2 linked regions of the Bombyx mori genome follow. The protein of the gene in region 1 binds, or shares a complex with, the protein of each later gene. Links are inferred from orthologs where the notes say so. Each region holds a gene or a part of one and is shown on either strand. Other genes may lie near its edges.

The links. The genes of interacting proteins can lie anywhere in the genome.
Region 2: the proteins of vacuolar protein sorting-associated protein 51 homolog (region 1) and Syx6 are in contact, whole or in part, in a crystal structure (PDB 4J2C), measured with the Homo sapiens proteins. The link is inferred for Bombyx mori from reciprocal best matches to the Homo sapiens genes VPS51 and STX6. Residues at the interface, in NP_037397.2 of Homo sapiens: Ala33, His34, Met36, Leu37, Leu39, Tyr40, Tyr41, Gly42, Leu43; in NP_005810.1 of Homo sapiens: Met3, Glu4, Asp5, Pro6, Phe7, Val9, Val10, Glu13, Trp59, Asp60, Asp63, Leu64, Glu66, Thr67, Ile70, Val71, Phe78, Arg88.

The regions. Positions count from the first base shown.
Region 1 is NC_085115.1:1,408,547-1,412,640, forward strand, and holds vacuolar protein sorting-associated protein 51 homolog, read right to left. Parts: upstream 2,812-4,094; 5' UTR 2,442-2,811; coding exon 342-2,441; 3' UTR 10-341; downstream 1-9. Other genes in the region: uncharacterized protein LOC101737848, read left to right, coding at 3,604-3,778. UniProt on the Homo sapiens protein: Acts as a component of the GARP complex that is involved in retrograde transport from early and late endosomes to the trans-Golgi network (TGN).
Region 2 is NC_085107.1:6,217,330-6,221,356, forward strand, and holds the start of Syx6 (syntaxin 6), read right to left. Parts: upstream 2,809-4,027; coding exon 2,774-2,808; intron 1,185-2,773; coding exon 1,014-1,184; intron 1-1,013. UniProt on the Homo sapiens protein: SNARE promoting movement of transport vesicles to target membranes. Targets endosomes to the trans-Golgi network, and may therefore function in retrograde trafficking.

The sequences.
Region 1 (4,094 bases):
TACTAAAAGTATAAATAATTGTTTGTTTATTTAATACTAGCGACCCGCCCTCGCTTCGCTTCGGAAACATTAAAACACACATGAAACCAAAAAAAAAAAAAAAAAGTAGCCTATGTTCATCAGGGACAATGTCGGCTTCTAATGGAAAAAGAATTTTTCAAATCGGTCCAGTAGTTTCGGAGCCTATTCGAAAGAAACAAACAAACAAATCTTTCCTCTTTATAATATTAGTATAGATAGTATAGATTTAAGATTGGTATTTAAGTCCCTAGACTAATCTAAATTTGAATCATATGATAATTAAGCCAGTTTTATCAATACAAGCATCATGTTCTTCTCCTTCAACCTCTTTCACAAATAATATCTACAATACTAGGTTCCATTAGTTGTGGGTCAACGCATCTCAACTGTGCTGATGCTAAAGCATCTTCAAGCAAAGCATTTAGAAGCCTCTCATCATTGCCCATACATGAAAGCCTTTGCTGTAGAAAGTGAACATCAACTTGTAATTGCTGTAGGCCATGCCTTCCAAATGTGCGTAGGCGCACACATTCAACTAATGCTTTCAAAGCTACTTTTAGGGCACCATTTGATAGTGCAGCTCTGTCTGCCCCTGCAGGACTAAACACTTCAATTCTTTCAGAGAATATCCTATTAAGAGGTGAAAAAGAAGAAGGAGCACGTGACCAAATAGTACGCCGACTGGAGTCACTAGAAGGTTTAATACTAGTTGGAAACAGTTGAGATGCAGCACCATCAGCACTAGCTAAGGTCTCCACTACTCTTCTGCATACTGCTCTTGGCCCCCTTGGTTCTGGAGCTCGCAACCAATCTCTAGCTAATACAGATACTCTCAACATTTGGGCTGCAGTCTGGCCAATAAATACAACTTCTGAATCTAGTGCAGTCTGCGCTGCAGTAGATAAGTGGACCATGACACTACTAGTATCCTTGTTATCCACAGTGAGGCCAGGAGCAGCCTCTTCTAAGAGTTTGAGAAGATGGTTCTGTAATGTCGAGACACCAGTCTCTTGCATATCCAAACATAGCTTAGCTAGTATAAGTAGCAATTCAAAAGGAATGTTGTTATTTGAAGTCTGAAGGCAAGCCATCTTTTTTACCAGATCAGAAAGATTAGCCATAGTTTCATTTATGACTTTTGAGCAAGCATCAGCTACTGCTTTTGCACACCAAGGTTTTAATCCAAATGATAAATTATTTTGTAAGAATGCCATTAGATCTAAGAGTGAGGCTTGGATTTTTTGCATCAGATATACTTGAAGGGAGTTCAGTATATCTTTTAAGTCAATTGTTTCTGATCCTTTACTGGCCAAAGACTGCCTTACTTTCATAAGACTGTCTTTAAATTGAGTCTGTATGCTCTGGTACTGTACCATAGCCTTGTGATTTATACACTGAATGACAACCTCAGTGCCTTTACTGGACATCATATCACTTGATGATATTTCGGTCATAGCCTGGAGTTTTCTGAAGAATTTATCAAGGCCCCTTATTAACATTTCAGTTCCGTTGTTCTCAGGTCTTTTAATGACCTCTTCGAATAAATGAAAAATTTGAATCATTATTTTATCAGCAAATTCGGGTATGATAGCTTCCTGTTCGAACATTTCATTGTAACATGATATTATAATAGCTAAATCAGCCAACAATGTATTATTGCATTTTTCTACCCAGTCCAAAATGTCTGTATGTTCAGCTATAGAACTGAGCATCTGCAAGTGTTTGTCAAGACGACTCTCTGCACAACTAAGGAATATATCTTGTAAGGATGAATCACTTTCTTGGAGCTGCCTTAAAAGGGCTACACTTTCAGCAAGTTCAGTTGCAGATGTATTAGGACTGATAAGTCTTTCACGGAGTGTCTTCTTCAGTTCAAATATAATTTCTGAACACTCAGTCTGTATGCTTTGGAATGAAGGCTGATTGCCATATTTTTGGAGTACTCGCTGAGCATGTGAATAGTCTTGTACAGCATCACTGTATCTGCCTTCTGCTATTGCTTTGTTAAGTTGAGAAGGTAGAAGGAAAAGGAACTGAAGTTTATCTAACAGCTGTCTTGTACCACACAAACGTCGAACATTATTACCGCTGCCTTGGAGATTTTCAGATATTTGAGAGCTGAATGTAGTTATTTTATTGATATTCTCGCTAAGTTTATTCATTTCTTCTTGCATTATTTTAAAATCGGAACGCATTTTGCGTACAGTTTCGGTCGCCGAAATAAATTTATTATAATTTTCATAAACCAATGTCTGCATTTCTGATTGTAGAAATTGACTTTGAGTTACAATTTCCGCTTCTTTGTCCATTACTTGCTTTAGGGTAGCGCATTTTAGAAGACAATCTAAGTAGACGTCTGGGCTGAAACTACTGCTGTCGATGTCCAGAGGATTTTCTTTAACCGCTTTGGCTTCCTCCATATTATGTACTTTGTTCAATAGGTATAAAAGTGATTCGTTTAAAGCTAATCTCCTTAATAAAATATATTTGCGGTTTATTGGTTCGTCTGCAATTCTAATTTACCAAAGAGAATAACTATTTAGAAACACAACATTTCAGCTGCGAGGACTGACGTCGATAAGACCTTATGAGAATGAGAACAATTATGTTTATTTATACTATTTCCTACTTTACTAATACTCCGTCTTATAAATGCAGTTTTAGAATAAACATTAAAGCTTATATATTTTATTTCTGTATATACAATAATGAACATATGTATACATTGTATACTATACATACATATAGGTATGTACGTTTGATAATATTTCCCCATTTTTTTAAATAATTTTTTCTGGCTTGGAAACAAAGTCTTTTAAGCCAAATTAGCTTTTATTATTAAAATTTATGCAAGGTAATCTTTATCATACGTACTGCTATGTACTGCGTTTTTTGAATATTTTATGACTGGCCTGGTAACAAGACCTTTAAGCGAAGTACTCAGTACTTACTAGTCCACTGAGTTTCTCGCCGGATCTTCTCAATGGGTCGCGTTTCTGATTTGGTGGTAGATTTTGCAAAGCACTGCTCTTGCTAGGGCCAGTGTTAGCAACAGTTTGAACCGGTTTGAACCCTGTGAGCTCACCACGTCAAGGCGAAGCTGAAATAGCCTCTCAAAGCTATCAGCATTGGTAGGGAAAAGTACTTATATTCATTTTAATTATATTACTTATGAGCATACACGGGTAATGCACTAAATATAGAAAAGAACCACGGGTACTGTATTATTTCCTATGGTAGTTCAGAAGATCCATGGTGGAACATCCACGCAGCCTTCCTCTTCTTCTTATTACGTTATCTCATGTTATTGCCCTTATCTCACTTCTTTTAATTCTCTTTTAATTCTTTTAATATATCCCATCGCTCCTTTTGAGTTTTCTGACAACAGCCAGCCTTTCATAACAAAATATTTGGTTGTATAGTCAAATATATCTTTGCCTATAATAACGAATCAACCAAAAAAATATATTTTGAAGTTTGTGTGTTTAAATTTGAAAACTTTCTGTTGCGAATTGTTTTGTGATTTTTTTGCTAAAATACTTCTCATATACAATAGAAAACTTGGGAGCAAAAAACGTAAGGATGGCTCCTCGAGATGTCCCCAAACCTACGCCTAAAGTGCAACGAATTGTAGGGAAGACTAATCAGACTAAAGGACGCGCTTCGCCTGCGTCTGTTAAGAAAACGATGTCGTCTATCAAAAAGGCGACTGACAAGATACCTTTAAAATGTAAGATTCCATTTTTACACTCTCGAGGTGAATCTATTCAATATCTCTTCCTTAGGCTTGAGGTTTGAATTTCCAAAGATTTCTCAACGGATGTTCTTCAATTCCGAGAGCCGTAGGCCTTTAATTAAAATTTTTTTTTTTAAATCTCGTTTAAAGTTTTCATTTTATTATTTCCGACTTTTAGTGATCACAAACGGCTTATGTATTATTCGCCAACATTTGCATATTGCTCTAAGAACGATCTTATCAAGAGAATCAAACTTGAAATCCTTAAAATGCAAATTGTAGTTCCTATTTACATCCGAGGACGTCGTGTATTAAAACCAAATAACATAAGTAGCAA
Region 2 (4,027 bases), on another chromosome or scaffold:
CACGTAAGAGAAGATCTAGGTTACTGTTCTCTATTCTATTCCTAAATTAGTTTTTGACGAACCCACCACCGGACGAAATTGTCTTATGACAAGATGCTAGATTTATCACAGTTATTATTGTATGCATACATACAAATCAATGACCCTTTAAACCCAAGAACTTAAGCGATGCTATTTGATGATATCAATTTAATATTAGGTGAATTCTGTGTAATTTGGGCAAGATCACGAAACAGATCATTAGCATGTATGCCTGTTAGTTCAAATGTGAATGACCTATCCTATCCTATGACCGCTATATTTTCAGTTTTCCAATTTTTTTGGGGTCTAAATAAATCTCATTACATTGCAACTTGTCACTTTTCATTGCTCATCTAGAATAATAGACCATATAATAAGGTATAAACATAATATTCATGTAACTAATACAAAATTATGTGAATGTCCTAACAGAAAAGTACTCTTGTATTGATATTTTATTAATGAATTCTAATAATGATAAGATGATGTGTAAGTTTTCTCAGAGTAAAATACTTCTAATATGAACGCTGCATATTTATAATGGGAACTGCTTACTTGTGTTTGTAAAGCTTTCATGCATTTCTGCTTGATGGGAAAGACAGTCATTGTATAATACAACTGAAATCTCTACTTCATGTCACCAAGCAGGTGATGGCAGATTGCCACCATAATGTGATATGGTATCTATGAATTGTTGTCATGACTAATAAACAGCAAGTGGACTCATGTGACAAACTAAAGAATTATAAAATAAAATTTTAAGAAGCTAGTGTGAAGGTAAGGAATTTGTAAATAATATATTAAATAACCCGAAATAACAAAACATTAAGGACCATGAAAATTAGTAATGTTGGAATTTGAGATAGCACAAATAAATCTAATGGAATGTTTTTGTTAACATTTAACTGATAAGTTTATCAATTTAAAAAGCATCTACAACAAACACATACATCATCACTATTTTACAAAATATAAAATAATTTTAAAGGATATTTATTGTATCTTCTAAATCTTCCAAATCCCATTCAATGCTGCGCAGTGCATTTTTCAATTCAGTCGAAGTCCATTCTACTTCTGGACTACTTGCAATTATTGGAGTCTTACAAATCTCCTGCCAGCGTAGGTACAAACCACGAGTCTTATTCAGTGCTTTGAACACCTCACTGTGTCAGAAAAGTACCAAAAGTTAATATAGTAAGTCAAAGCTGATGTCATATACAAAATATATAGGGTTTCACAAATATTTTGAAAAACTCCTTGAGTATTGTGTGTCTAAAAGAAAAGTTAATTTCGTTCTTAAGTACTACATTTGTTTATTTATTTTATTATTTATTACTTGGGTGGACTAGCTCATGTCCCATTTGGAGTTAAATAGTTACTGGAGCCCACAGGCTTATAGAATGTAAATGTCACCACCCACCTTGCGATATGAGTTCTAATGTCTTAATTTTAAAGTACAAAGGCTGCTCCACCCTTCAAACAGAATCACCTACCAGTGGTACCTACCCCTGCGGACTCACAAGACGCTTACCACCAGTAAAAATTAATCACATTTCACCAAATCATTTCATTCAATCAATCATTTGATCCAACAATCAACAAAGCATTTGAATTTTTAACATTCCTCGTCCGAATTTGAAGCAAAAGCTCTTGAGAACATGTCAAAAACCTTCAAGTCATGGGAGTAACATCAAAATTTGGTCATTAGAAACTTACTGCTGTAGCTGAGTTTGAAATGAACCTCCCTCTAACATGTTTTCTGACAGCTATGACATGTCTTTCTTCAAACGAGATGTAAGTGTCCTCAAAATTAGGCATCAGCTTGGCTGTACCCTTGAAATTGCTCATGTACATAGCTTATGAAGGTTAATTACCATCAGATGGATCATACGGTCTTTTTACAAAGGCAATAAAAAATGATAGTTCTCAAAGTATGAGCCCATTTACTATTTAATTCTTCCTATTCCTACTATTTAATCCTACAATTATTTATAATAATCCTATAGCCATATACATAATGTTAAATGTTATTATTTCTCATAAGATCTTTCTACTTGAAGATCAATAAAGCAATTACTTAATATAACAGTTGAATGAGTTGTTAATTAGTGTGTTCACCCAAATATGTAATAAAAAAAATATTAAAATCTAAGTATCTATTTTGATGTGCAATAGCAATAGGACATTTTGTAACGATATTTAAAATTGTAATTTAATAAATATTCAATTTATTTAAATCCAATAAATTTTAAGTTTCATAAATATTATACTGTATATATATTATAAGAATATTAATATTGGATCTTCTATGAAAATTTTAAACTTTCTCATCACATACTTAAACAAAGTTATTCATTTTGCTATTAAAATAGCTATAAAAACAAGAATAAACAAGACCTGTACTTTGTCAGTTTTTCTCCTCCTAGCTGATATTACTTTAGGTGATGTCTTAGAAGTAAAACTAGACTAGATTGAGTTGATTTCGTACTTTTATGTTACTTAATTATAGTCCACAAATGACACTTAATTATTTTAAAGTGTGTTACATTTATTTTTAACAGTAAAAAGATGCACAATACTAAATTCGTTTTCATTATTAAATCAATATTCGTATATAAACCTTAACTTCAGCCTTTGCTTTTTGCTACACAGTATCATGTAATATTCAGCACCACCCACTGGAAACAATTACCTTACCCTAGCTGCAATGCCATCTATTAATATAAATGAACAGTTACTTTACTCCACTTACTCTTTAACGACGTAGAAAGGATCTTCTAAAGTCATGTCAACAAAAAATAAAACAAAAATTTTAAAAGAACCATGTGATTGTGGATTTTCTAAAATTTTAAACTGTAAATTTAACCATAAATGCACACTCTCTTACACTCGTACAATACCTCGGCTTGGCGACCAACCCACAGAATATCGAGTGTGATACCTACCCTGTTTAAAGCTCGCTCGATGAAGCCTTATTCTCTATCCCTTGCTCGCTCATGTAAAATGCAAACAGCGCAGAGTGGCAAAACGCTCTGCAGTGCGCAACCGCAGAGGACTTATTTCGGGGCGGGAGAACTCACAACAAACCCTGCTTAGATTCACCCCACAATAGCCCCACACTATCAATCTATTACCACCTCGTTGCCTCCCTTCTTTCAGAGTTCAGTTTTGGTTTTGTCACTTTTTTTACTCTAGAACTTGTATTGCTGCACAATATATAGCTGTATGTAACTAATACACTTCGAATTTTAATAATTAAATATAAAATGTATCATAGTACAGTGTATAAAACAAAACTTCGAAAAAAAATAGTGATTTTGTACATACATTTATTGTATTTATAAACTTTTTTGTTATTGTTGTACATTATGAATGTTATTGTCTATGGTACAATATATGCTTCCTAATTCAAACCTATAGAGCACAAAATTCTGGCAGCTGTTTGCACGTACACCCTGATCACATTTTTCTTCCTAAAAAAGATGCTTACTCCGAAGCAATATGTGAAGCGCACCAGCACCCGAACTGATGACCACGACACGACCACTCTCCCAAGAGTGCATACGCCTGAAAAGAAGAAGAATCAGAACCAGACTTATGTAATAACTATAAAGCTAAATATTTTACGTTGTAATTATTTAAGGAGAATTGTTGAATTATAAAAATAATAATTATGCAATCCAGTGAGTCCGCATGGGTAGGTACCACCACCCGGCCTATTTCTGCCGTGAAGCAGTAACGCGTTTTGATTTGAAGGGTGGAGCAGCCGTTGTAACTATATTGAGACCTTAGAACTCATATCTCAAGGCTGGTGGCATCATTTACGTTGTAGATGTCCATGGGCTTCAGTAACCATTTAACACCAGGTGGACTGTGAACTCGTGCACCCATCTAAGCAAAAAAAAAATCATTATCGTTAGCTTGAATACGTGAACTTAAATTAATTCTGTCGCTGACTCTTATTCCGGATTGTTAACAACAACAAAATTTAGGAATACAAAGTTCT